Canis lupus familiaris: one gene and its partners. The protein of the gene in region 2 interacts with the protein of the main gene of each other region in a biochemical or structural test. Links are inferred from orthologs where the notes say so. Each region holds a gene or a part of one and is shown on either strand. Other genes may lie near its edges. The genes, in order: PJA1, UBE2D3, RNF146, RNF34, MUL1, RNF114 and SH3RF1.

What was found.
Region 1: the proteins of UBE2D3 (region 2) and PJA1 form a complex in vitro, tested with the Homo sapiens proteins (2 studies listed by BioGRID). The link is inferred for Canis lupus familiaris from reciprocal best matches to the Homo sapiens genes UBE2D3 and PJA1.
Region 3: the proteins of UBE2D3 (region 2) and RNF146 are reported together in a solved structure, tested with the Homo sapiens proteins (2 studies listed by BioGRID, with this or other methods). The link is inferred for Canis lupus familiaris from reciprocal best matches to the Homo sapiens genes UBE2D3 and RNF146.
Region 4: the proteins of UBE2D3 (region 2) and RNF34 form a complex in vitro, tested with the Homo sapiens proteins (2 studies listed by BioGRID). The link is inferred for Canis lupus familiaris from reciprocal best matches to the Homo sapiens genes UBE2D3 and RNF34.
Region 5: the proteins of UBE2D3 (region 2) and MUL1 form a complex in vitro, tested with the Homo sapiens proteins (3 studies listed by BioGRID). The link is inferred for Canis lupus familiaris from reciprocal best matches to the Homo sapiens genes UBE2D3 and MUL1.
Region 6: the proteins of UBE2D3 (region 2) and RNF114 form a complex in vitro, tested with the Homo sapiens proteins (2 studies listed by BioGRID, with this or other methods). The link is inferred for Canis lupus familiaris from reciprocal best matches to the Homo sapiens genes UBE2D3 and RNF114.
Region 7: the proteins of UBE2D3 (region 2) and SH3RF1 form a complex in vitro, tested with the Homo sapiens proteins (2 studies listed by BioGRID). The link is inferred for Canis lupus familiaris from reciprocal best matches to the Homo sapiens genes UBE2D3 and SH3RF1.

What each region holds. Positions count from the first base shown.
Region 1 is NC_049260.1:53,797,515-53,801,595, reverse strand, and holds the start of PJA1 (E3 ubiquitin-protein ligase Praja-1), read left to right. Parts: upstream 1-1,281; 5' UTR 1,282-1,432; intron 1,433-3,345; 5' UTR 3,346-3,572; coding exon 3,573-4,081. UniProt on the Homo sapiens protein: Has E2-dependent E3 ubiquitin-protein ligase activity. Ubiquitinates MAGED1 antigen leading to its subsequent degradation by proteasome. May be involved in protein sorting.
Region 2 is NC_049253.1:15,659,361-15,663,590, forward strand, and holds the start of UBE2D3 (ubiquitin-conjugating enzyme E2 D3), read left to right. Parts: upstream 1-1,430; 5' UTR 1,431-1,593; exon of another isoform or gene 1,594-1,632; intron 1,633-1,742; exon of another isoform or gene 1,743-1,952; intron 1,953-1,960; exon of another isoform or gene 1,961-2,178; intron 2,179-2,893; 5' UTR 2,894-3,026; coding exon 3,027-3,050; intron 3,051-3,780; exon of another isoform or gene 3,781-4,177; intron 4,178-4,230. UniProt on the Homo sapiens protein: Accepts ubiquitin from the E1 complex and catalyzes its covalent attachment to other proteins. In vitro catalyzes 'Lys-11'-, as well as 'Lys-48'-linked polyubiquitination.
Region 3 is NC_049222.1:66,568,566-66,571,438, forward strand, and holds the end of RNF146 (E3 ubiquitin-protein ligase RNF146), read left to right. Parts: intron 1-620; coding exon 621-1,698; 3' UTR 1,699-2,373; downstream 2,374-2,873. UniProt on the Homo sapiens protein: E3 ubiquitin-protein ligase that specifically binds poly-ADP-ribosylated (PARsylated) proteins and mediates their ubiquitination and subsequent degradation. May regulate many important biological processes, such as cell survival and DNA damage response.
Region 4 is NC_049247.1:7,980,878-7,984,377, forward strand, and holds part of RNF34 (E3 ubiquitin-protein ligase RNF34), read right to left. Parts: coding exon 3,471-3,500; intron 1,385-3,470; coding exon 1,253-1,384; coding exon of another isoform or gene 1,194-1,252; exon of another isoform or gene 250-1,193; intron 1-249. UniProt on the Homo sapiens protein: E3 ubiquitin-protein ligase that regulates several biological processes through the ubiquitin-mediated proteasomal degradation of various target proteins.
Region 5 is NC_049223.1:77,793,427-77,797,649, forward strand, and holds the start of MUL1 (mitochondrial ubiquitin ligase activator of NFKB 1), read left to right. Parts: upstream 1-1,423; 5' UTR 1,424-1,514; coding exon 1,515-1,634; intron 1,635-4,223. UniProt on the Homo sapiens protein: Exhibits weak E3 ubiquitin-protein ligase activity. E3 ubiquitin ligases accept ubiquitin from an E2 ubiquitin-conjugating enzyme in the form of a thioester and then directly transfer the ubiquitin to targeted substrates.
Region 6 is NC_049245.1:37,091,743-37,095,242, reverse strand, and holds part of RNF114 (E3 ubiquitin-protein ligase RNF114), read right to left. Parts: intron 1,714-3,500; coding exon 1,563-1,713; intron 1-1,562. UniProt on the Homo sapiens protein: E3 ubiquitin-protein ligase that promotes the ubiquitination of various substrates. In turn, participates in the regulation of many biological processes including cell cycle, apoptosis, osteoclastogenesis as well as innate or adaptive immunity.
Region 7 is NC_049246.1:20,140,973-20,144,472, reverse strand, and holds part of SH3RF1 (E3 ubiquitin-protein ligase SH3RF1), read left to right. Parts: intron 1-159; coding exon 160-521; intron 522-3,500. UniProt on the Homo sapiens protein: Has E3 ubiquitin-protein ligase activity. In the absence of an external substrate, it can catalyze self-ubiquitination. Stimulates ubiquitination of potassium channel KCNJ1, enhancing it's dynamin-dependent and clathrin-independent endocytosis.

The DNA of each region.
Region 1 (4,081 bases), on a different chromosome or scaffold from region 2:
CTTTCTTGCTTTTCTTTTTTTCTTTTAATTCCTCCCTCCTCACTCCTTCCTTTCCTTCCTTCTTCATTTCTTGTGGTATTTAACTGGCATATATTTTCCATTTCTATATCTGCTTTAAGTGAAACTCATATAAACAGCATATAATCAAATTTGAAGAAAAACAAAATACTTAAAATGAGAGTCTGCCTTTTATTTTTTAAAGATTTTATTTATTCATTCATGAGAGACAGAGAGAGAGAGAGGCAGAGACATAGGCAGAGGGAGAGGCAGACTCCTCACAGGGAGCCCGATGAGGGACCCGATCCCTGAACCGGGATCACGCCCTGAGCCAAAGGCAGACACTCAACTACTGAGCCACTCAGGATTTCTGAGAGTCTGCTTTTTTTTTTTTTAATTAGTGTTAATCCATACTATATACTGATATATTTGGATTTATTCCTGCCCTTTGGGTCTTAAAAAATAGCCTTTCTTGTTGCCTCCCACCTCACTTCTGCAGTTTGATAGATTGAATTTTTCTCTTTGTTCGACATATTATTTTTTTAGTGGTTTGTTACACATACATCCTATTCTTATTATATTTGTTACCCTAATGTTTCCTGTCCTTGTATTGTGCATTTTGTTTCCAAGAACAAAACTTTGCTATTGTCGTGAACATGGAGAGTCTTTACATTCCATAAATATTAAAGATGCATTGTAAAGTGCAATTAATAAAAGAGTTCAGAATTCTGTAAAATTATACAAATCCAAAAGGTATAGCTATAGTATTTTTAAACTGCAATGAGATTACCAGGTTGTGAGTCGGTATTACGCTTCATGACTGATCATTTCTTTTGGATAGAAAAGGTTGGTTTCGTTAACAGAGAAAAAAAATTAACAGCAACAAATTCTACTGTAAACAGTTCAATTGCTTCAATTACCAGGTCAAAAAAAAAAATGAACCTGCAACTCTAGATAAAATTTCACATTTTTTTATGCTTCTAGTACAAACCATGCCATATAACATAGGATATGATATATTATTGTAATTACTTGAACATCAGAATTAATCAGAAAGAATTTGTCGACTTCATCTTTAAAAAGGGGGAGAAAACCCCCAGAACAGAAGAGGGTATGGCTAAATGTTTAACATTTGCTAAAGCTGGCTGTTGGTTACATTTTTTGCTGTCCTTTTCTGTATCCTTGACGATTTCATCATTTAAAATGAAATCATGCTCTCGGGCCCAGCCTGATTGGTGGAGAGCAGCTGCCGCCCCGCCACATCGAGGGGGCGGGCCCGGCGACGCCACCGGCACTTCCTCCGCCGCAGTCGCCGCCTGCCCGGCTGCTGTCTGGCGGGGGAGGAGCTGGAGACCCGGAGCAGCCCCGGCGGCCCTGACGCTCGGCGGCCCGAGAGCTCCGCTCGCCCGGAGGAGCGCGCGGCTGTCAGCCCTGGGTGAGTGGAGGCTGTTTCCTCAGTTCATCCGGAAGGGGCGGCGGGGCAGGTGGCGGGGCTTGGGGACGAGGGTTCGGGTCCTCTAGCGAACAGATCTTCAGGCGCGCCCCTTGGGAAGGGGTGGGGTGGACGCAGGACCTGCCTGCAGAGTGAGGCCTGTATCCCCCGACCTGTTCGGGGGCGTCATCCTCCATCTCCCAGCCCCCTTCGCGTGGCGTGGCCCCTACTCGGATGGCTTCAATTGCTGTTTGAGAGGGGAGTGGGGGTCCGGGCCCTCCCCTACTTCTTCCCTCCTTGGTCCCTTTACAGAGCACTCCATGTCCTTTCTTCCCCCATTTTGCAGTTGTTTTTCCTGAATGGCAAATTGTTCAGATTTGTAGGTAAATATATTATCGTTCCCAGGAAAAAGAATTGTCTGAGAAACCAGTTATTACCAGGGAAAAACTAGACCCTTGCCTGCCTTTCCTTTCTTTTATTCCCCTTCCCTGGCCATCGGTTTGGAGTTGCCAGTGTGAGCAGTAACGTTTTGCCATCTCTCTTTATGACACTGTGACCCCCTCCCCCTCCCCATGTCTCGCATGTGTGGGCAGGGACATACACAGACACATGCATACATGGTGCGCGTGCACATGCACGCACACGTACGCAGGCATACATACAGACACACACACAGAAACCTCTCGTTGCAGCCCCCTCCCTGCACCCCCCTCATACTCAAGGTTTTGGCACATCCTCTTCCCCTTGAGGACGTGGACAGACACACATACACACACTCTTGCACAATGTCACACCCTCCTGTGCCTTTCCCTGCTTCTCACTGCCTGCCACATACTCACCTCCAGAAGCAGCCCCCTCCTTCTTCTGCCTCTGTGTGAGCACACACACACCACACACACCCCTTCTGGGGCTGCCCTAGCCCTTGCCTGCCACACACATGACGATAGCGTTTGATTGCTGGCTCCTCTTTCATGTGCCACATACATACATACATATATATGCACGCACACACTCTCATTCACACAGCCCTCACAGATGCTCCCAGCCCTGCTCCCCATCTGCTACATACGTGCATAGACAGCCCTCCTTTGCTGGTTCCTGCAGTGCAAACACTCACATAAATCCTTCTTTGGGGACACCATCACCCCCCAGCTAGCCACATTCGTGAATACACATATTTCCCTGATTGCTGGCTCCCTATTCCACCCACCAGCCACCCTCACATCCCTCTCCTGTGCTGTCCCTCTCGTGGATGCGTTCACTCACACTGACATTCTCCACTGTTGCCTCCCATTTTGCTGAATACTCACAGACCGTGGCCACCCTTGTCCAATGCTACCAAACCCTTTCTTGCCTGCCACAGACACGTAAACGGGCTCCCTCCACAGAGTTGCAGCCACTGCACATATACAGCCACACATGCACATTCTCTTTCTGTCATGCTTACACATACCCCTCTCCTCTGAAGCCACCCCCCACCCTGGCACCTGTCATTTCCCTACCCACATCCAGAATGGGTGTCCTTCTGTCTGACACTAACGCCTCTTCCCAGTACACCTGTCCCCTCCCCCTACAAACATGCATCTCTTCATTGCATGATGACTGCCCCCCCCCTTCCACCTGTCCCTCTCCTCCTGACAGACACGTTAGGCATTCATGAACACATGGTGATCTCTTTTTCACCCCATCCCAATTTGCATTTCTCCTGTCTGTCTGCAGGGCTCAGAAAAGATGCAGATACCCCATAAGATAACCACAACAATCTTTCCTCTTCCACATTGGCCTAATTTCACACTACTTCACCCACCTTCCTAGCATCCAGGCACCCCCATCTTCTGTCAGATTCTCCCCCAAGTCTGGCTCTCCAACCAACCCAGCTTTGTAATCATTTTGCCAACATTAAAAATGTGTTCCAGGTCTACACCTGACAGTCACTGGAATGCTACTTCAGGCCTTAGAAGAAAGTGAAACTAATTGTAAAGGCCCCTTATCCTTTCTGTTACTGCCTGCTGAAGTGAAAATAGATCTCCCTGCTCTTTTATTCTGAACTGATTTGACTTTCCCATCTCCCAAGCTTGTGCAGGGAGCAGGAGCCTTTCCGCTCAAGCCCCAGCTGTATTGGAAACCCTCCTAAGTCAGAGCCATGGGTCAGGAATCTAGCAAGCCCGTATGGCCCAAGCCAGCAGGAGGGTATCAGTCCAATACAGGCAGGAGGTATGGAAGAAGGCATGCTTATGTCAGTTTCAGGCCATCCTCGAGCCAGCAGGACAGGATTTCCAGCCAGAGAAAGACAACATCCGAAGTCCCAATGCACAGATCAGCCCCCAGTCAAACCACCAAGAGGAGCCGGTCACCATTTTCCATCACCCGTCGTAGTTGGGAGGACAGTGAGAGCTCTGGAGCCAGCCTGAATGTTGATAATGAGGACTACTCCAGGTACCCACCGAGAGAGTACAGGGCTTCAGGTAGCAGAAGAGGATTGGCTTATGGACATGTTGACTCTTTTGGGGCAGATGATAGTGAGGAGGAGGGGGCTGGGCCTGTTGAGCGAGCACCAGTTAGAGGGAAAACTGGCAAGTTTAAAGATGATAAGCCCTACGACCCAGAGAAAGGGGCCAGGTCTTTGGCTGGGGTGGCTCCACAGTTCTCTAG
Region 2 (4,230 bases):
TTATGACACCTGAACTATACCACAAACCTGTAAAAAAAAAAAGGCTGCTATTATTATGTATAGTTCAGTGTAGGAAGAAACTAAGATGGTAAGCAACCACACAGTATCACACCAACGAGAATAGAGCAAGAACTCAAACCTGGATTTCACCCTCCACCCCAACTGCCTAATTCTGTGTTTCTACTCAAGTAGACCGGTTAAATCAGAGAACAAAGATTATTCTAGGAGAAGGGAAACAGGCTATGTGATGAGCACTTTAGTACTCTGCTATTCACGGGGCTGTACTCTGACCAGAATCATCTGTACCACCTGGGAGTTTGTTAAAACTGTGAAATCTCATGCTCCACCAAGGCCTACTACATCAAAATCTACATTCTGAACAAAATCCTTAGCTGATTCACAGAGATACTAGCTTGAGCAGGGTTTCACCAATTGCTCGAGTGACACTCCTCCTGACCACGTAAGCGGTATACATTAGCCCATTCATCACAGACCTACTTTAGCTTTTATTAGGTAATACTTTATTGTAACCAGAAATTGCTGCTTTTCTTTTTTTTTTAAACTATATTTTAAAAACAAGTTAATTTTCCTCTTTGATTCTTTAAAATATCCACTTCGTTAAGTCAGGAAATGTTCGAAAACTTTAAGCAGGTCAGCGCTTACCTTTAATCCTTTTAAAAATTACTGTCGTACCACCCCTTTGCCTGAAGGATACCCTAGAGAGCCAAACCACCTTCTCCATTATTTTACACCCGGCAGATTAAACAGGCCAATTCTGCTCTTCCCTTTCTGCCCGCCCCCGGATGTTTCAGTTAAGTAATACGTTTTTCTGACCCAAAACTCTGATCTTTTGAGTTTTGCAACTCTGTGGACCTAGAAGTTGAAACACGGCAAGAGGAAGAAGGAGGTGTTAAGTCTCTTCCCGTACCTCAATCCTGGCGGATGGTGACAGGCAAATAGCCTGCCCCTATTTCCCTACCCTCCACGTTAATCCATAGTTGAATCTGATGCCTAGACGACTGCGACTGGGAGGGGCTCTAGGAGGCCCCCTTTCCTCAGTACGGACCCTCTAGGTCAGAAACGCGCTGTGTCTCGGCACGTGAGAGCGCTCATCAGCGGTCCGCTCGGTTCTATTTACAACGAGTGTTGCACTTTGAGGGGTGCCTCCTCCCCCTGGTTAACGAGCCCGCACGGGCAGGCGAGTGCGGATATATTGCTCACCTGCTCCACCGAAATCTCGGAAGGCCCGGATCAACCTGGACTAAAGGTACCCGGTGATTAGCCCGTGGCACCTCCCGCCGCACATTCCTGATTGGGCGCGTGAGGGACGGACGCGCCGGCGCGCGCTCCAACCCGTCCGGGGAATTCCAGTTCCCCTCCCTCCCACCAGCAGAAGCATCCAGGGGCGGTGCTTCCCGACGACGGCCCGCCCCTACTCCAGCCGGTGCCTATTGCATCTCGCGAGAACTTGTAGATTCGGGGGGCGGGCCCCCAACAGGAAGAGCTCACGCAACTGCCCTTAAGTCATTGCAGGGCTATCGCTCCGGCTAGCCAGCCACGAGGTTCTCGCGAGATCCGCCGCCTCAATACCAAGTGAGGAAACTGGGGGACGCTGCTGGGAGGGGCGTGGGTCTCGACCGCGCAGCTGCCGCTTCCATTACCTTCCTCCCATGGTCTCCTTCCGGTTCTCGATGCTTCTCTGAGTCTGAGGGTTTCCGCCGCTCGTCCACCCTCCCCCCCCCCCCAGCCCATGACCCGCCTCCGGCCCCCGCCCTCCCAGTCCAACCTCCGATCTGTTTAGTAAGAAGGTGCTGTTCCGAAAAGAAGGAAGAGGGGGTAGCACAGATCAACTCGGTCCCGGACGTAGGAAGTAAACCGTCCCCCCGTCCCCCTTCGCTTCGTCCTGTGCTCGCGACGGCGGCGTTGGCGGACTGATACGCGGCGGTGAAGAGGCAGGAGGAGGGGGGAGGGGCGGAGCGTGGCAGCTGGCAGTAGTTCCGTCAGAGCGGACATCTTGTGGCTGTGTCGTGCGCGTGAGCCCCGTAGGGCCGGGGAGGCACCAGCTGCCGCGCGGGGAGGAGGCCGAGGCCGCAGCTTGAGGGAGGCCCCGGCCCCTCTGTACGCGTGGGTGTGGACGGCTAGGGGAAGGGAAGGGAGGCCGGCCCCCTGGCCGGCCGGGTAAGAGGGGAGATCCGGGCCTCGGGTGGCTGGAGTGACCAGCCTGTTGGGTGGGGTAGGGTGGGAAGGCTGGGGAAGCCGGGGCCTCGCCTGCCCAAGGGGGTGGGGGAATGGGCGCGTCCTCGCGCCCGAGCCGGAGCCTCAGGGGCAGCTCGGGCGCGTGGTGGCGGTGGCGGGGCGGGCGCGTGCGGGAGCGCGCTGGAAGGCGGAGTGTACGGTGGCGTCAGGGCCGACAGAATAGCTCTGGCTGCGGGGACGGCAACCTACAGCAAGTCTCTTTATTATTTCCTTCTCCTTCCGGGCCGCACCTTTGAGCAGAAACCGAAAGAACCCCGGCGTCAGTCCGGAGCCTCCAGTCTTCCCCCTCCCCCCTAGCCTTTCTTCGCCCTAGTGACGCCGGCGCAGCGCCGACTAGGCCCCGGCTCCTCCTCTGCTGGGCTCCGGACCCTGCCCCGCACCCACCCCTTTCTCCTACGCCTCTTCCTCTCCCACCCGGGTCTCTTTCGAGAGGCCGGGAAGTCAAACTTGTAGCCGCCCCCTCCGCTCTTCCCGTCACCCTCGCCGCCTCTCCGGGCCGAAGCACGGCATAGAGGCTGTTGGTGGCTTTGCCACGCCACCCCACCCACCCCGGATCGCGACCGTTTTAAGGGACCTGGATTCATCAGGGTCTCTCCGGGGCCTGTGCGAGTGCTGATCTGCTCCGTTTTTGCAAAAGGCGCCTGTGTCTGGCAGAGCCGGTGTGAGACGAAGAGAGACAATCCTTCCCTGCCGCCCGGGTAATCAAGAGTTTTGGCCGGACCTTTGAGCACACACCGAGAGAGTGAGGAGCCAGACGAAAAGCACAGACTATGGCGCTGAAACGGATTAATAAGGTAACCCACGGGGCTGAAGGGAAGGGGGTCGTGGGAGGAAACGAAGGCTCGGTCTCGGAGGAAAGCGTGGGGGTGGGGAGGAAGTATAATTAGGAAAACGTCTTTCCTTGGGTCACTTCTGTGGGGGGGGGGGGGATGGGAAAGAAAGGAGGCTTAAAGCTAGAGAACAGAACACTTGTGGCGAATGAGCTGTTTATCTTGAGTATGTTTCAGTTGGAGTCGGCCCAAATGAGGGGTGGGGGAGAGTGATTTTAGGCGCTTGGGTTTTGCTGCTAAAAAGAGTTTTTTAGTCTTGTTTGAGGGTCAGAATTGCCCAGAGACGCTCCCGCAGATGTCATGGCGCTCCCTAGTCTCGGTGCTTGAGAACTTTGGCTGTAAGATCAAGGTTTTCGGGTTTTCTAGGGGGAAGAGTCGTAGGAAACTCCTAGGGGAGGTGATAGAAATCTGGCGGGTCCTGAACCTAATTGGGGGTCGGTGTAGAAGTCTCTTGGCGGCTGAAGAGTAGTGACTGAACCTAGTTAAACTTCATCGACTCTGAGCAGGTTACACAAGAATAAGTGGGGCTGGGAAGAGATGGGCTGACACGATGTTACCACTTCCTATGTTTTGTAGTTGAGACTTCTCACTCGAATTTATAAGAGGGACGCTGCGAACTGGTGTAAAAGGCTTCTGGAAGCTCCCTTCTTTTGACTGGGGGGTGGGGGGGTGGGCGGTACGGGTGTGATGGCAGTAAGGGAAGGTTTGGTGTACCTATCTTTGTCTCGGCTGATTTTATAACACTTTCGGAGATGATTGGCTACTTGAAACGTGGTTTGATAGAAACTATTGATAGATAGAAGTTGAAAGAAATACGTTTTTTCGAGCCTGGGGGGGGCGCCGGGTGAGCGGAACCTTCACCTCCGGTGGTTTAGTCTCATTTTCTTGCTCTAACTTCTATCCCGCATTTTAAGATGGCGGCTGCTTTAACTGGTTCAGGCTTTTTCCGGCATCTCCTTTCGTCATTATATGAAATAATATTCTTTGTTAAATGTTAACTTTTACATCAGATTGTACACAGCTCTTGAGACGTCCTGCTGAAGACTCGATGTTCAAACTCTCAAACTGCATTTCCCTTTTTTGTAACTTGTGTATGTGTGGTGTATTTGGTTCTTGCACAATCGAGGAGGGTGGAGTATTTACA
Region 3 (2,873 bases), on a different chromosome or scaffold from region 2:
CCTGATCAAGGGAAGGTCTGGTGGGGATGAGGCTGGTATGGGGGCTGAGGAGCGGGACCACTGCAGGACACAAACATCCTGGTCTTTATCCTGAAATCAACTTTTTAAGCAGGAGGTAAGACTGGAACAATTTAAAAGGCATATTCAGGCATTTAATGAACACTGTTTACTGGATGGCTAGGGCAGAGATGGACAGTAGATGGATTCAGGAGAGTGGGATCACATTGGTAAGACCTGCTGATGTTTTGGATGTGAGGAGTAGGGGAAGGGCAGTGTCAGTGATGGATTTCAAATGGCTTGAAAGAGCAGATGGATAATGTTATCCCTGGGGGTGGGGAGCTTTTAGGGAGTAAATAAGGAGGAAACAGATCATGAGTTTATTTTTGGCTTAACATTTGTGCTTCTCATTGCTCCCCACAAGTAAAAATTCATGACAGAAAAAAATCAAAGATTTTTCTGCACAAGTTAAATTCTTTTTCTTTTTTGTTTTCCCATTTTCCAGTGTGTAGCACACATATACAGTAGGTGCTTAATAAGTGTTTTCTGAATTGTTGAATTAAGAAATTGGAAGAGTTGAAACGCAGTTTTAATGTTACGTGTATCTGCTCTCCTTTTCTTAGGATGGCTGGCTGTGGTGAAGTTGATCACTCGATAAACATGCTTCCTACGAACAGGAAAGCGAATGAGTCCTGTTCTAACACTGCGCCTTCGCTCACTGTCCCTGAATGTGCCATTTGCCTGCAGACCTGCGTCCACCCCGTCAGTCTCCCGTGTAAGCATGTGTTCTGCTATCTGTGTGTAAAGGGAGCTTCATGGCTTGGAAAGCGATGTGCCCTGTGTCGACAAGAAATTCCTGAAGATTTCCTTGACAAGCCAACCTTACTGTCCCCAGAAGAACTCAAGGCAGCAAGTCGAGGAAACGGTGAATATGCGTGGTATTACGAAGGAAGAAATGGGTGGTGGCAGTATGACGAGCGCACTAGTAGAGAGTTGGAAGATGCTTTTTCCAAAGGTAAAAAGAGCACTGAAATGTTAATTGCTGGGTTTCTGTATGTTGCTGATCTTGAAAATATGGTTCAATACAGGAGAAATGAGCACGGACGTCGCAGGAAGATTAAGCGGGATATAATAGATATACCAAAGAAGGGAGTAGCTGGACTTAGGCTGGACTGTGACTCCAGCACGGTCAACCTAGCGAGAGAGAGCTCTGCCGACGGAGCGGACAGCGTGCCAGCGCAGAGTGGAGCTTCTGTTCAGCCCCTGGCGTCTTCTGCGAGGCCCCCAGCATCGGTGGATGGTCCCTTAACAAGCCCTGCCACGCCGTCCCCGGATGCGAGCACTTCTCTGGAAGACTCTTTTGCTCATTTGCACCTCGGTGGAGACAGCATAGCTGAAAGGAGTCACAGGGGGGAAGGAGAAGAGGATCACGAGTCGCCGTCCTCGGGCAGGGTCCCCGCACCAGACACCTCCGTGGAGGAGACCGAGTCCGATGCCAGTAGTGAAAGCGAGGAAGTACCTGCGCTTGGTGCACAGCACTCCTTGACCCACCAGAGACTTTTGGTTCCTAGTGTAAACCAGACAGTATCTGATAGATCAGATCGATCGGGGACTGATCGACCAGTCGCAGGGGGTGGAACAGTGAATGCTGGTGTCCGGTCTAGAAGACCTGATGGCCAGTGCACAGTAACTGAAGTTTAAATACGACAGTCTTCAGCTCCAGGCTCAAAGTTAAGGCAGCGCTCTGTAAATTTCTGCCCACGTAACATACTCGTCCCTGGTAGTGCGTTGTTGGGAGCTGGGGGGGGAAGGGGTGTGGGGAGGACAGACCTGTAATTAAAATGTCTAACGTGTCTCTGTTGAGGAATTTATTTAATATAAGGAACTTGGCGTTAATAGTTGAGAGCTGTTTAGTAATAACCCAGTTTTCTTGAGGTCTGTTTATTTTATAGTTTTTAAAAGTTTCTTCAGTTCCTTTGGCCAGCGTGTGTGTATTATCTGTGCATTAACAGTCCTCATCTGACTCTTGCATTGTGTCTTACTTTTCTGCATGGATTGACGTAAAACCATTACTAAAATCTGGCACCTCTGAGGTGTCTGGTATCGGTATGAGCAGGAAGCTTAATGTGAGAATAGATGTGAATTCGGGATTTTAAAATAGATGAATAACAACTATTAAATAGTAAAGTTACCGAAATGGAAGTGTAAAGAAAACAGCTAATAACTCCTGTTTCAGAATCTTGTCTGTAACATACTCCATGGCATTTCCCATAGGCTCTGCTGTCTGGTCCTTGTAGTTTGAGGTTTCTCTTGACCTGCATTTTTCTTTTTGATTACAGAATTTATAATTTAATAAATACTAGAGTTTACCAAAAATAACTTGTCCGTTGTCTGAGTGTGGAAAGAAGATGAAAACATTTTGACATTTGTGGCCAAAGGTCAGTAACCAGGTGGTGATTTGAATCGGTTGTGCTCAGCTTATTCAGCTGCTCAGAAGCTTGGTTTTTTAACCGACTCCACAAGCAATTGCGTGCAATAAATACGTATGGAAGTAAACCTAACGCTCGGGGGACCTAGACGTCTGACGTAACTGGTAACAGGCACCACGCACCCTGTAGACTGTCATTGCCGGCCACCATTAGTGGCTTGACGCTAATGAATCCAACGGTAGGTTTATTTATAAACAGCATTAGTAGACACAAACTTAAAACGTAAAATCTGTGGCAAAATAAGTCTTGGATTAACTTGGTGATCCCGAATTTGGTTCCGAAAAATGGTAATGTTTGTCTTAATATAGTTTAACTCAAAACCGTAGGATTGTGTTGAAGCGTATGCAGGTTATTTTTAATGTTTTTCAAATGTGAATTAAATGTTAC
Region 4 (3,500 bases), on a different chromosome or scaffold from region 2:
CTTTCTAAGACTTCAGACAAGTTCTTTAATTTCCCAGAGGTTCCCCATCTGTGAAGCAAGGCAACAGCAATTTCAGAATGCTGGAGAACTAGAAAGCCCCCAGCATAATACTTGGTCACAATAAACAGCAAATCAATAGTTAAGCTAGTGGTACATCAGCAGCCAGGAAAGGTGCTGGATCAGATGCAGATACCCATTCATGCTGTACCCAAATAAATTAGGAACTAAGTAGGACAATGTAAGCAAAAGCATTTTTTAAAATCTAATTTTATTCCTAAAGTTAAATTAGCTAGCGGTAGCACTGAAAATACACTTTCACTATACAAAACAGTGTAAACTGGTTCAACATTAAGAATTTAACACACACACTTCTCTAATGAAAGCAGCTAGATGCAGCCCTTGCTCTAAAAAGCTGTACCTGAACAGAAATGGACATGTTAAGTCTAAGGCCCTGGCAGTTGACTACAGAATGTCAGTTGTTCCCAATTATGTTTAAACGCAGAAATAGCAACAATGTGGAAACTTACATTCATCAAATAGTAGCATTTAAAATATACATGACTAATAAAGTGAACATTCAGAGGGGCCACTGCTCAGTGTGTACCATGTTGGCCACTTGTGGACAGTGATCTCATCCAAGAGAACAGAAGTTTCAAACATCTGAGTAGTTTAAGTTAAAAATAGGATGAAGGAGAAATAGAGAACAGGATAAATGTTCTCCGGAGAGAGTAGCTGATGCTGTGAGCAGTCTGCCTTCATCAACAATCAGTGATCACAGATGTGGGATGAAGCCCCGCAGAACCTGGGAAATGGCGTGTCCCCAAGCTGGCAGGCACATGGCACATACCAACATTGCCACAACTTAGGATGAATCTTTCTGTCCCCAGTTAGTAGTGAAAATAATTTTTAAAAATAGTTTCAGGGGATCCCTGGGTGGCTCAGCGGTTTAGCGCCTGCCTTTGGACCAGGGTGCGATCCTGGAGTCCTGGGATCGAGTCCCACGTCGGGCTCCTGACATGGAGCCTGCTTCTCCCTCCTCCTGTGTCTCTGCCTATCATAAATAAATGAATAAATAAATCTTTAAAAAAAAAAAAGTTTCAGCCTTTGTACAGGAAGTTTCCAGGCACTCCTGTATATTGAAATGTCTGGGATCGAGCTTGGGGGCGAGTGTCCTGTCGGGAAGAACCCAGGCTTCAGGACTTGAACACGTGCACGGCGCGCACCACATACTGCCGGCAGATGGGACACTCACTCATGCGCTTGCCACACTTGGTGCAGGTGACCATGTGCCCGCACTCAAGCAGGACACAGTCAATGACGGCATCCATGCAGATACGGCACAAGCGATCATCTTCCTCATCCTGCAGCTGCAGTCGCTCGCCATCTGAAAGGCAACAGAGAGCTGGGGCTGTGGACACAGTGCTGCCTGATTGGCGGGGGGGGGGGGGTGCCCTCACCAGTCATCTGGAGAGACCACGGCGGGCCCCAGATAAACCCGGTGTCGTGAAAAAATAATCCAGCTTCTCTGCACTTCCATTCCCTCCACTAGCAATGGCAGTAGTAATAATGCCTATACCTTGTAGAGTTTTGTGAATACATGAGAAATGCTTAGCTTAGGGCCAGGTATGAAGTGCCCACAAATATTAGCTACTTAGTTCTATTTTATAGCTGTAATTCAAAGTTCTTGTGAGAAGAACAGATTACTTCTGTAAGTGAAAATAAAGAGACCTAAGGTTGTCTCTATACACGGGCCTCAGAGAACATGACTGGAATTTCCCACCCAACTGTGTGGCCTTGGGAAAAGTCAGTCTCCAGAGCTTCATCTCAGTAGGAAGAACTTTATTTCCACACTGATAGAAAAGTTCTGAAGAGTCATACGTCAAGTAGCCTGTACTTGGGGGAAAACCAGTTGGAGTCTAACTGCAAACAGACCGGCTATCCTGGCTCTGAGGCCCACCCAGATTTAGGTTCTGAGAAAATCTAAGCTCTGAATAAGAAAGGTGGTGAATGAGTTTAAAAGTTCACCTCAGCCCAAGATTTGGCCCCAGAGCTCAGGATACAGAGGCTTCCTTTTCTTTAGGGAGATCTACAGAGGATCGATGGGAATATATCACAATTATAGTTAGAAAGAACAGGAATTCACTATTGAAGGGCCAGTAGTCTCTGGATTTAAGAGAATAATGCCATTTCAAAAGATTCTTGTAAACCAGGGAAAAAAAGGATTCATGGGATAAGACAATTGATGAGCCAGTGGAGAAGACCCTAGAGGGCTCTTGAGTAAATCAGAGTCTAGGCTTTGGTCCCCTCCCCTGCATGGAAGTTTCCTTCCAAGAGTCACAAGTTCTGAGCATAAAGCAGAGGAGCCAGGGTTTATCAAGGCTATTAGGTAAGGCTATAGAGGTGAATATCTCAATCTAAGTGACTGAAGACAATTAAAGTAGGGAAGATTCCAACTGTACTCATTTTGAGTATTCCACAAGTCTGGAGGTTGAACCAGGGAGAGAGTAAGCAGTGAGGTAACTGAAAAAGGCACTTTGGCAAATGTGTATGTCATGGCCTCCTCTACCATAAACTCCCGGAGGGTGGGAATGAATGGCTATGCATGACCAGAGCGTACTGTACACGCTTGGCATTTACACTTATTAAATAAACGGATTTCTCCCCTCACTACCAGAATGCCATTTCCCAGCCACAGTCTGGGACCTCTGAAGGCTCTGAGGCTTAAGATTCTTGTATCTACCCTTGTGGCCTCATCTTAGGAAATAGGTATGCCAAAATACTTCCCGCATATTCAGGCATAAAGCTGTTTACCAATAATTGCTGCATTATAACCAGATTGAAGGGAAAAAAAAAAAAACCCTCACGATGATAAAAGTTAGTGGGAGGATTGTTTAGATAGGAACATATTTGTCAGTCTAAACACCATTGAAATATTCTTTCTTGCCTATAAATGCTCTATGGCTTGGCCCTGTTACCGACTAAGGATTTCTGTTCCATGCCTCATCAATAAATAGTTTTGGAATTCTTAACTTCAGCTTTTCCCAACTTCTAGAGAAACCTAATACTCGATGCTAAGAACTACTTAACATCTTGGCTCTAGGTAATATTTTTTTTTTTTTTTTTTTTTGCAGTTAGGATTTAAAAGCTACAGTTGAGATAACCAAAGTATTGGCCTGCCAGGTTAGTGAGAAAACATGCATTTTCATAGAGACAAGGGAGTGCATTAGAGTTCTAACAAATTATGGCAAAGAAAACCAGACTCAACAAATGACCTAACTCACTTGCAATGGTGGTTTCAGAGCCAACATCACATAATAAACTTACTAATTAACAAGTTCATACCTCTAATTCACTCAATAAAAGGATACATAGTTTTGTGAAAAATTTTGACCTCATTGTGATAGAAACAACCCAATTTTTAAAAGACTAAAGAAGGATAGTATGGGGGAAGAAAGAAAAAGGAAACCTACATGACTTTTGGTTTTCTTCATTCTCTTTGT
Region 5 (4,223 bases), on a different chromosome or scaffold from region 2:
GGAGTCTCTGTCCCTGTACCTTTTTTTTTTTAAGATTTTATTTATTTATTCATGAGAGAGAGAGAGAGAGAGAGAGGCAGAGCCACAGACAGAGGGAGAAGCAGGCCTCACGCAGGGAGCCCGATGCAGGACTTGATCCCTGGACCCCAGGATCACATCCTTGGCCGAAGGCAGGCACTAAACCGCTGAGCCACCCAGGGATCCCCTGTCCCTGTCCCTTTGCCAACACAATGTGTTATTAACTTTTGGACAAGTTCCATTAAAAAAAAATAATAAAGTTAGGTTTAACTTTAAGTGTATGTGTGTGTACCAAATTCATGATCACCTCTTAGTTGAAAACCATCAAAAAGTATCTGGGGGCAGGAACAATCTGGAGATTCTAACCCCACGTTCACAGAAAAGCAATTCTCATTGGATTCCAAGGATAATTAAGGAATGTGGTAGGAAAATGTCACGGACAACCAATTTCTTTAATAAAGAGACTTTACTTTTGGGGAGCAACCTACAGATGTCAGATGCCTTTTACATATATATTGCTTTTGACCAGCGGGTACATTCCTACACCTCCAAGAATTTTTTTAAAGCGTAACCAGGAGGAGCTAACTTGGATGAACACCTTGATGTTTTGGGTCAGGTTTTGGGTTATCTTCTGATTATTTCAGTAAGGAGATCACTAAAGAGGTCAGAAGATAGTCTGAAATCGGCTCCACAGTCGTGGTGTGAGGATTAAATAGGATGTCTGTAAACACAGACACAGAAACAGGCACCATAAAGCAGCTGTAATTATTAGCTGACAAACAATAGGTTGTTATATGGGGGTGATGACAGATTAAGGGGCTACTTTGGTGATAAAATCTGCCTTCTTGGCTGTAAGGGCTCTGGGAGCCCAATAAATTCCTCTCTTGCACTCACCAGCAGTGCAACTGTGAGCACATCCCCTAATGTCCCCGGCCTCACTCTTCGCATCTGCAAAGTGGGAAGAAAAAAAAAAAAATTCCAAGGCTCAAGGTTTGCCCTGAGCTTAAAGGTGCAACACTCCCAAGGGCTTGCTACACACTAGTCCTCTTCTTTTCCTCCCCCCCTAAAGAGGCGGAGGTTTAGGAGTCTCATTAGTCTCGGTGGAGCCATCACGAGCCCATCAAACACCCCAACAATAACCCCAGGAAACCAGAGCGACCCGAGCACGACCAGCGCGGCTCCCAAGGGCAAAGGGTCACCAGAGACCCGCGATCTCGGACTTCCGGTCAGCCCCCTCGCCCCGCCTCTCGGCGACGGAGACCCCGCCCCCGCGGAGGCCGCCGCAGCCGGGCGGTCACCCGGGCAACGCCGCCTTCCGGTCCGCGCGGCCCCGCCCACTTCCGGCCCCGGCGTCGTTGCGTCAACGCCGGGCGACGCGGAGCGGGTCTCCGGAAGGGCGGCGTGGGGGGCGCGGTTCCGGGCGGAGGGCGGCGGAGCGTGAGGGCGCGCGGCCTGACCTCGGCGTCGCCGCGGGCACCCGGGGCTCCGCGCCAGCCATGGAGAGCGGGGGGCGGCCCTCGCTGGGCCAGTTCATCCTCCTGGGCACCAGCTCTGTCGTCACCGCCGTCCTGTACTCCGTGTACCGGCAGAAGGCCCAGGTCGCCCAGGAGCTCAAGGTCAGTGCTGGGGCCAGCCTGGCCTCCGCCGGCTCGACCCTGCCCCCCGGTAACGGTGGGCCCGCCCTTCGCCTCCGGCCGGAAACCGCCCCAGGGCGGAAACCGGCTCCTGAGAGGTGTCGCCCCGCCGGTCTCGGTGGGGGCGCGGCGAGCAGAACTCGGGTCACGTGATAACCGCTCCACCTGCCCCTCTTCCTCTCAGTCCCTCTCCTCACCCGGAATCGCGACTGGATTACATCATTCGACAAATTCTTAGCGGGCCGCCTGCTCTGCTCCAGGCCCTGGGGCTCCTGCACGGCTAGAAGAGACCAAAAGTCTCTGCCCTCATGGAGATTCCAGTCTGGTACAGACAGACAAGTACATCGGATGGGGTGACAGATGGGGAGGAAAATAGGACAGAATGAGGCGGGGAAGAGAGGAAATGCGGTGCCGGAGAAAGGGAGGTGTGCTATTTTAAAGAAGGTGACATTTAACAGAGCCCAGGAGGAGGTGAGGGAGACCGTGCAGGTGTCTGGGGGGAAGAACAGTTCAGATGGAGGGAACAGCAAGTGCAGAAACCCTAGACTTTGCCCATTTATGTAACCACTCAGTTCCTTGTTCCTACAGACTCTTCCTTTTTTGATGGTTTAGTTACTTTAAAAATAACACTTTCTTTCTTAGTCTGCCCTTTCCAGCTTAGCACATTCTCATCTTGTTTTTTTTTTTTTTTTCTCCTTCACAATCATTTTTTTTTTTTTTGAGGTATGGAAAATGACAGTCATCTCCAGATTGCAAATGGGGAAATTATTGAGACTCCCGGGAAAAGTCTTAACAGCTCCTCAAGTTGGAACTTAGGTCTTTGGATTCCAAGTGTGGGATTATTATTATTTTTTCTTTTCTTTTTTCCTTTCCTTTCCTGATTGACCGCATTGCTTTACTGTGACGGTCTGACTGGCCCATGAGAGATGGACCTCTTTAGGTCGGAGACAGGGTCTTACGTATGCTTTTTCTTCTAGGTTGTAAGTCAGTGCCTGACAAGTGGTAGACGCTCACCGAATGTTTGTGGATTCCTTTTGGCTGAAATGTCACGATACCACAGTTAGGGCTTCGCTTGACGTTTATTTGAAGGATTCCTAAACCTGGCTTAGTTCATTATCACCATATTGTTTTCAATAAAAGGGCTCAGGAACCAATGTGTGAAATCCCTGCCGTCAAGGGGAGTTTGGGAATGCATCTGGATCGAACCAGGTTACCAAGCAGTTAGATTTGTGGTGCAAATGGCGTCCTAGTGAGATTCCAGCTGCCCAGTTGTTTGATTATAAACAGGTTACTGCTGAAGTCATGTGCCAGGAGTGTAACTGATACTCCACTTTCTGACTCTAAAAGTCTGAAATCAGGTTGGCATCAAGCTGGCTGAATGTGGGACCTTTGAAGCAGTGAACTCTCCAGGATCTATTTTTGGGTGGCCTTAAAAGTTTTGCCAGTTAGTTCCCAAATGAAGTTGAAACAGCCCCTTCCTGGAAAGAGTTGGGATTCCTAATATTTTAGGTTCTGTTTTCTTGATCAGATTACAAAACTCGCAGAGTAGGTTTGAGTCTTAACCTTGTGCATCTCTCGTAGTGATGGGAATGCATATTTATTGCCTGCCTATTATGTGCCAGCCCCTGGGCTAGATTCCTTCACACCTTACACATCATTGAACACACATAAAAATCCAGTGATAGTTTTATCTCCATTTTTTTTTTTTTACAGCTTTGGCAATTGAGACTCAGGTAAATTAAGTTGCTCAAAGTCACAATAGATGGACTGAAGGTTGATTCAAGTGTCTTTCCAACCGTATTCCCTCTCCCCTTTAAAAAATTCTAACTGGCCATCCTGTGGTGGATGCTGTACCAGCTGTGTGACTTGGGGCAAAGCATTTCATATCTCTGAGCCTCAGTTTCCTTATCTGTAATTGGGGCTAATAATGTCTGCTGTATAGGGGTGGTAGGAGCATTGCATGAATTTACGCGTGTAAAGTGTTTAGCGTAGTGCCTGGTACATACAGTTGACCTTTGAACAACATGGGTTTGAACTGTGCAGGTCCACTTACACGCAGATTATTTTCAACAAATACAGTATTATAAATGTATTTTCTTATATTTATTTATTTATTAAAGATTTTATTTATTCCTGAGAGATACAGAGAGAGAAGCAGAGACACAGGCAGAGGGAGAAGCAGGCTCCCTGCGGGGAGCCCGATGCAGGACTCGATCCCAGGACCCTGGGATCACAACCTGAGCCAAAGGTAGACACTCAACCACTGAGCCACCCAGGGGCCCCTTCTCATGATTTTTTAAAAATATATATTTTTTAAATTTTATTTACTTATTCATGAGAATACACAGGAGAGAGAAGCAGAGACACAGGCAGAGGGAGACACAGGCTCCATGTAGGGACCCTGATGTGGGACTCGATCCCGGGTCTCCAGGATCACACCCCGGGCCGAAGGCGGCACCAAACCGCTGAGCCACCGGGGCTGCCCTAAAAAATATTTTCTTTTCTTTAGCTTGTTTTATTACAGGAATACAGCATATAACCTACAAAATGTGTTGATTAACTGCTTATGTT
Region 6 (3,500 bases), on a different chromosome or scaffold from region 2:
AGTTACAGAATGCCACATTGTGATAAATGATCTTAAAAAAAAACTGAAATCTGAATTCCATTTCCCCTATAAAATCTAGTCCTTGCAAGATGGAAAGAGAAAGAAAACCTAGAGGAGAGTGCTTCATCGCAGGTGTTCTAAAAGCAAAGGAAAAGTATAAGGAATGAAGAAAGAGAAGAGGTAAAGGGAAGATAAGACATTTTTGGAGGTATAGTAGTACACCTGGAAATATAATACAATATAATAACTAATCTTTAAAAATGGAGAAAAATCAAAAGTATACAGAATAAAACAAAAAAATCCATCATGCATGTAGTACAAGGATAAAGTAACGGGTAATTTCATTTCAATATCCTGAGTTTCAAAATGAAAGGAAACCACAAGAAAAAAAAAGAAAGCTTCATTATTTGAGCTCCAGCTTACCATAATGCTCCCTTCTGTCTTACCTCTAGCTAAAGAACTTGACTTCAAGCTGCCAACCAAAGAGCTCCCAATTAAAAGGGATAGGAAACAGCCCTATTCAGAATGATAGTCACTCTGCAGCCCTAGTGCTAAATCACTCTGAAAGAAAGAAGGTAAAGTATATCCATTCTATGGCCATCCATACTAATATGTTAGTAATGAAACGGACAGGTTGTCTAGTAAGTCATTAAGTGAAAAAAATTTTTCAAAAGTGAGAAAAAGCTCTAGAACTAGAGTATGCTCCTATTTTGTAAAATTCCTACATCTGTGTTTGTCAAAGGGCAGAAAATATTTTGCAGCCTTCTAAACCCAATCACTTTTAAACAGGTAATCTCTGGAGTGGGAAACAAGCCTACAGTATTTCATATGCTTTACGGTCTGAAATGAACAGAATCATAATTTTGAAACCTGTAAGACTGTGTGTGTGTATAGCTTGGAAAACGAGATTGTAGTTTTTCTCCTTTATAATTATAATAGATGTTGAAATACACTTGATTCTAGCATGATTATACAAAAAAGCACGGGTGCATTTCGAATGTTAGGTATTGTTTTTACAATCACATAATTTCATCCTAATCTTTATGTCATGATTCCTCCCTGTCAAGTACTAAAAAATTCAAATATTTTTTATATCTATAATGATAAAGATTGTAAAATTTCCCCTCTAGCTCACTGCAGCAGGTGACTTCCTTTTTTTTTTTTTTGTTTTTGTTTTTGCAGCAGGTAACTTCGAGATGTTTATCTTATTTTACACTTAAAAAAATTAAGAAATAGCATTCTGTCATTACATTCTAATGGAAATTACACATACTGCTTTGGAAAAGTGGCTCTTTTATAGGGAAAAAACTAGGATAATGGACTTCTATGGTTTTCAAAGCTACAAGATATAATACACTAAACCAACTGTTAAAAGAACAAAGCAAAACCAATAAGGTCACTAAGATGAACCGGCACAGCCATTGCCACAGATAACTAGCATGCACACGTGCTGTAAGTCACCTAGTCATGCTCTAACTTCAGGAACAACGTGGCAACAGCTCTGCGTTTTACCCCCTCTCATTGCAGAAAGACACTGACTCTTCCATTTTACTTCCACATACATTTTTACGGCAGCCATGGCAAGAAGTCTCTGTGCTCTCAATCTGCCGCTCGAGCTCCGCGGCTCGGACGCCAGGTGCCAGAGCGCTGCGACACACCCCACAGACAGGCTTCTTCGGCTTCAGACATTCCTGCAGGCATGCAGAGCAAAAGCTAGAACAAGACATACAGAGAACCTGCGTCATGCATTGTGGAGACAAGACAACAAAAATGGATAAACTTTTAAAAAGACATCAATGAATAATGGATTATAAACATATTGCTCCCTGTTCCTGATTCAAATACTGAGTCTTCCCGTGCCAGGAAGGGGATGGGGGAGTGTCCTGCAAAGAACACACAGGTCCAACAACAGAAACAAACACAAACTATCATGATACACAGTGAAAAGGTTTTGTGGCACAGTCCTCAAACCTTAGCACCTGCCACTGAGGGATCTTGGTGGGGTTTCCTGAATCTCAGTTTCTCCTCTGTGAAATGGAGACAGTAGTAGCCACCTCTGGGATTACTGGAATGGAGTATGTTTAGCAGCCCCTCAGTACAGTGTTAAACACATATGAAATGCACCACAAATAGGAGGTGCTATATCATCAGAGGTGAATGTAAAACACTATGAGAAGACAGAGATAAGACCACCTAGTTGTGACCCAAGAAGGACAGTGCTGGTAGGACTTCAGAAGCAGCATTCACAAAACAGCCTTAAAAGAGCTCAGCTGGCAGAGGAAGGTAAAAGCATTCCAGGCACTTAGACTTAAAAATTCATGACGCACCTAAGGAAATAAAAGTCTAACATCTTTCCTCATGAATGGTAGGAACCCAGATGTTTAAAGATATCAACAAGGCCAAATCCAAGTTTTAGAAAAATAGCTGAGGTTATCATGGACAAGAGAGTTGTTGGTTTTCAAAAAATATTTTTAGGTGAGAAAAGACAGGAGCCTTGAAGTAGAAACCAAACAGATTGGCTAAGGCAAGGAATTCTTTTTTTTTTTTTTTTTTTAAAGGCAAGGAATTCTAAGGGCCTGAGGCAACAGAGAATTAACTCAGGAAATGATTCAGAATGGAGTCAGTAATACTTGGGAACTTACTAAATTTGGAGAAGGAAAGTCAAAAAAGGCCAAGTTTCTATCCTGAAACCTATGCAGGGAGTGATGCTGAGATAAGGTATACAGAAAGAAAGGACAATAAAGGGATGGAAACAGCCTGGCTACATACCTGACCTGGGATTTAAGGCAAGATAACAAAACTTGCCAGGAAGAACTCAGGATGTATAATCAAAGGTAACCTATGCCATCTGACAAATTTTTACCATATCTAAGTATTTTCTTCCTCTTTGTGATAAAGCTAGATGTTAACACTGCCACACAAAATAAAACAGGCTGGGAGAAATTGAGGGGCCCTAATGATTTACCACTGAGAGCAAAGTTGAGAAAGAAACAAAATCCCTGTCTTCCTAATGCTTGTATTCCAAAGTGGAGGGGAAAAAAAAAAAGTTAGTTTCTGATAGTGATTTAAGTATAGGAAGGAAATAGGGCAGCCCTGATGGCCCAGCGGTTTGGCGCCACCTTCAGCCTGGGGTGTGATCCTGGAGACCAGGGATCGAGTCCCACGTCGTCGGGCTCCCTGTCGGGCTCCCTGCGTGGAGCTTGCTTCTCCCTCTCCATGTGTCTCCGCCTCCCTCTCTCTGTCATGAATAAATAAAATAAAATATTTTTTAAAAAGTATAGGAAGGAAATAAAACAAGGCAAAGAGATCAGCCAAGGTGGATCATACTGAGCTTCTTTAAGGAGGCAATATTTGAGCTAAGACCTAAAACTCCGAGGAGACAGTCACACGAACTTGGACACAAAAAGTTCCACAAAGAGAGGATATACCAAGTACAAAGGGATTTCCAAAAAGCAGAAAGGAGGCCTTTGGGACCATGATATGAAGACCACTGGAAGATG
Region 7 (3,500 bases), on a different chromosome or scaffold from region 2:
TTAAGTGCTTTTAAGCCACCAAACATCCATTATTTATTGTAAAAATGCAATAGCAACCTTTCATTATGGTCTGATATAGTGAAATGACTCATGTTTTGGTGAGTAGCATTTATTATTAGAAAGTCGAACTTTGCTGTTTTCTCTCCTGTCATCTACTAGTGGCGGCACATAACCAAGAACGCCCTACGGCAGCAGTGACACCCATCCAGGTACAGAACACTGCCTGCCTGAGCCCTGCGTCCGTGAGCCTGCCTCATCATCCCTTGGCTTCCCCACAACTTCCAGTTCCAGTGGCAGGCCCTACCACCCATGTGGCTGCCGTCAATATGGGTCGAGTCAGTGCTCCCCTAGCTTGTGGTTCAGCTGCCTTATTGACCTCTCCGAGCATCACCACTGCCTGTCTGGAGACTGAGCCCAGTGGCCGGGCAGTGACTATTCTTCCTGGACTTCCCACCTCTCCTGACAGTGCTTCACTGGCTTGTGGGAACAGTTCAGCAACCAAGCCAGACAAGGATAATAAAGTAAGACCAACATCCCTCTCCTCTGCTTATGTTGTGTTCCATCCTTTCTAACTAATGAAAGGACTCGTTGTCCAACAATCCTTCAAGTGCTTACCATGTGTGAGTCACCATGCCAGGTGCTAGATTCATGATTTTTGTGCGTTGAAACACCCACTAGTTGCCAGGCCTTGTACTGGGTGTTTAGGGAAACCACAGTGAATAAGATTTAGCCATTTCTTCTGCAGCTTATGTCTCATGAAGGAATTTCCTTACTTCTTTAGTTAACTCATTTTTTCATCATTGTGCCATCCTTAATTCTTCCTATTCAGTCAGTTCTGAAAAAAAAAAAAAGGTAATATATGAAAGGGTTGGAATTGTTGATCAGAAGTGTTATTTGTGGATTTATTTTTTCTGCAGTGTATTTAATTATAATCAGCATGGATAGTGTTCCTCTTGATTTGAAGTATGGGTGAAAAATGATTTCCTAAATCTGTAGATCTTTTTTTTAAAAGATTTTCTTAATTTATTCATGAGAGACAGAGAGAGAGAGAGAGAGAGAGAGAGGTAGAGACACAGGTAGAGGGAGAAACAGGCTCCATGCAGGAAGCCTGATGTGGGACTCGATCCCAGGTCTCCAGGATCATACCCTGGGCTAAAGGCGGCGCTAAACCGCTGAGCCACCTGGGCTGCCCTAAATCTATAGATCTTTAAAAAATCTCTCATTTGGGGCTGAATTTCAAAGAAAATATAAATAAAAAGCTGTGGGTTTGAAAGACTAACGTGTTTTTGGGTTTGGAGACAGGTGGTTTGAGACAAGGGAAATTGATGGTGAGTAATCGTGAACAGAAATCGAAGTGATAACAAAGTCTGGATAATTGTATTACAATCAAAGGAAGTAGCAACCTGAGGAAAATCCTGTTTTCCTCAGTATTTTGTGTATTTTCTCCACAACTCTAGCCCGATTCTGGGAAGTTCTAGGGTAATCATAAACTCTTAACCATTTGGTTCGGTGGTAATGTACGTCGCTTATTTTAAGTGGTTAGGTAAGCCTGTAAATAGGAGTTTATAAGGAAATAAACTTTACAGCCTACTAAAAAGTTAATATTTAATTGTTCAGTTAACCTTAGTGTTTTTGAAAAAGATTGGTATCTGTTCAATGTTTATAATTAACTACATTAAACTTGTACTCAAGCTGACATGTTCAACTTTGTCAATATCTTTAAAGAATTGTTTTGTAGTTTAGAATTTAAGATTTCAGGACCCTCATCATTGAGAACAGGGGCTCTTAAACTCCTGTCCTCCCAGGAAAGAATTAATTGAATCACAGACTTGAAAGGGAGCTGTGCCAGAGAGAATAATGGCTCCCCAAAGATGTCCACATCCTAATTCCTGAAAGTTGAGAATATGTTTCCTTATGTGGCAAAACGGATTTTATCAATCTCTTGGGATGAGGGGATAAATCTGAGTGGGCCCATATAATCACATGGATCTTCCTGAAAGGGAGGCAGGAGGATTGGGTCCAGAGGAGATGTGACATCCGAAGCAGAGATCAGAGTGATTCAAGGAGGGAGCCACAAACCAAGAAATGCAAGCAGCTTCTAGAATCTGGAAAAGGCAAGGAAACAGATTCTTACCTAGGGCTTCTGTAAGGGATGTAGCCCTTGCTGAGACCTTAGTTTTAAAGCCTGATTTTTACCACAAAGTTTGTGGTAATTTGTTACAGCAACAATATAGGGCCTAACAAGTTACCTGTTGAGTCCCTGTCCTTGACAAATGGCCTCTGTTTGGACACCCTAACCAACCATTAATGCCTTAGGTCCAGAGTGTCCCATGCCATTTTCCTTATGTTGAGGGGCTGCATAGAAAATGTTGCTCTCCTTTCTATATGATGCCTTGACTTACTTGCAAGTTATCTTCTTTTTTAAGGCTATACTCTTGAAGTTTTTGTCACTAGTACTTATGTCACAGATTATAAATTTTCCTTCCTAAATCTCCTACCTCATTTAATGTTCCAGATCCACAGGGAGACTTCTCTTGGTTAATATAAAATCCATAATTCCATGACTAACATGACTGGAGTGTCATTTAGTTCACATTCCTCCATCAGGTCTATAAGGATATCATGGGAGAACTTATCAGATGCCTGTCAAAATCCAGATGTCTTTTATATTCTCCCATCCAAACTATTCCCCAGTCCTCCATCATTTTAGCTGTTACTCATGTTAGCAAGTGTCTCCTGAAGAAGTCTCCTCCTCAGAGTCTCATTTCCTTTCATTTAATATATTGTTCTAGAATTTTCCAGACAGTCTGCAAAGTACATTGTTGTCTTCTTTTTGAAAATTAGGATTATACATCCCTTATTGCCCTGTTGAGTTGACCTGATCTCAGGTTCACCCACATCTATCAAAGATTATTTGGTTGCATTTCAGCTGTTAATTTTCTCTGTATGCTGGGGTGAATTCATCCTGGCAAGTAATTATTGGATCTCTAAATCCCAATCTCTTCACCCATTTCCCTCTTATCAGGGTTTGGTCTTTCTAGTCTGAAGATTATCCTTCTCTTTCTTCTTATCTTCTGAGAACCACCATCCATCTCAAGCAGCAGGTCTGTATCTTTCCTGTTCTTCTCATTTCAAACATAACTTTAAGTCTACCCCCCCTTTTTTTTTCCAAGTTTAAGCTATTATGGGCCATAATACATTCTTTCTTATGGTCCCTTCTCTTGATCTTTTTGTATTGAGTCCTTTAAAAATTTGAGCCCATTAGGCCGCTCTCTGGGGGATCACATTAGCGCCGTTAGATGCCTCTACATTTTTATCTATTCAGATAATTTGCAGTAGTAATGTTGGAATTTCATTCTGGAGATCCCTCCCATTCTTCTTGAAGTATCTTTCCTTTTGAGTTCCAGGTCATTCATATATTTTCTTTGAACTTTTAAAATCAGTTCTTTTAAACTTCAGAGTTTAAATCTCACTATAGCCAACTTCTCTTTGGGTGCTTA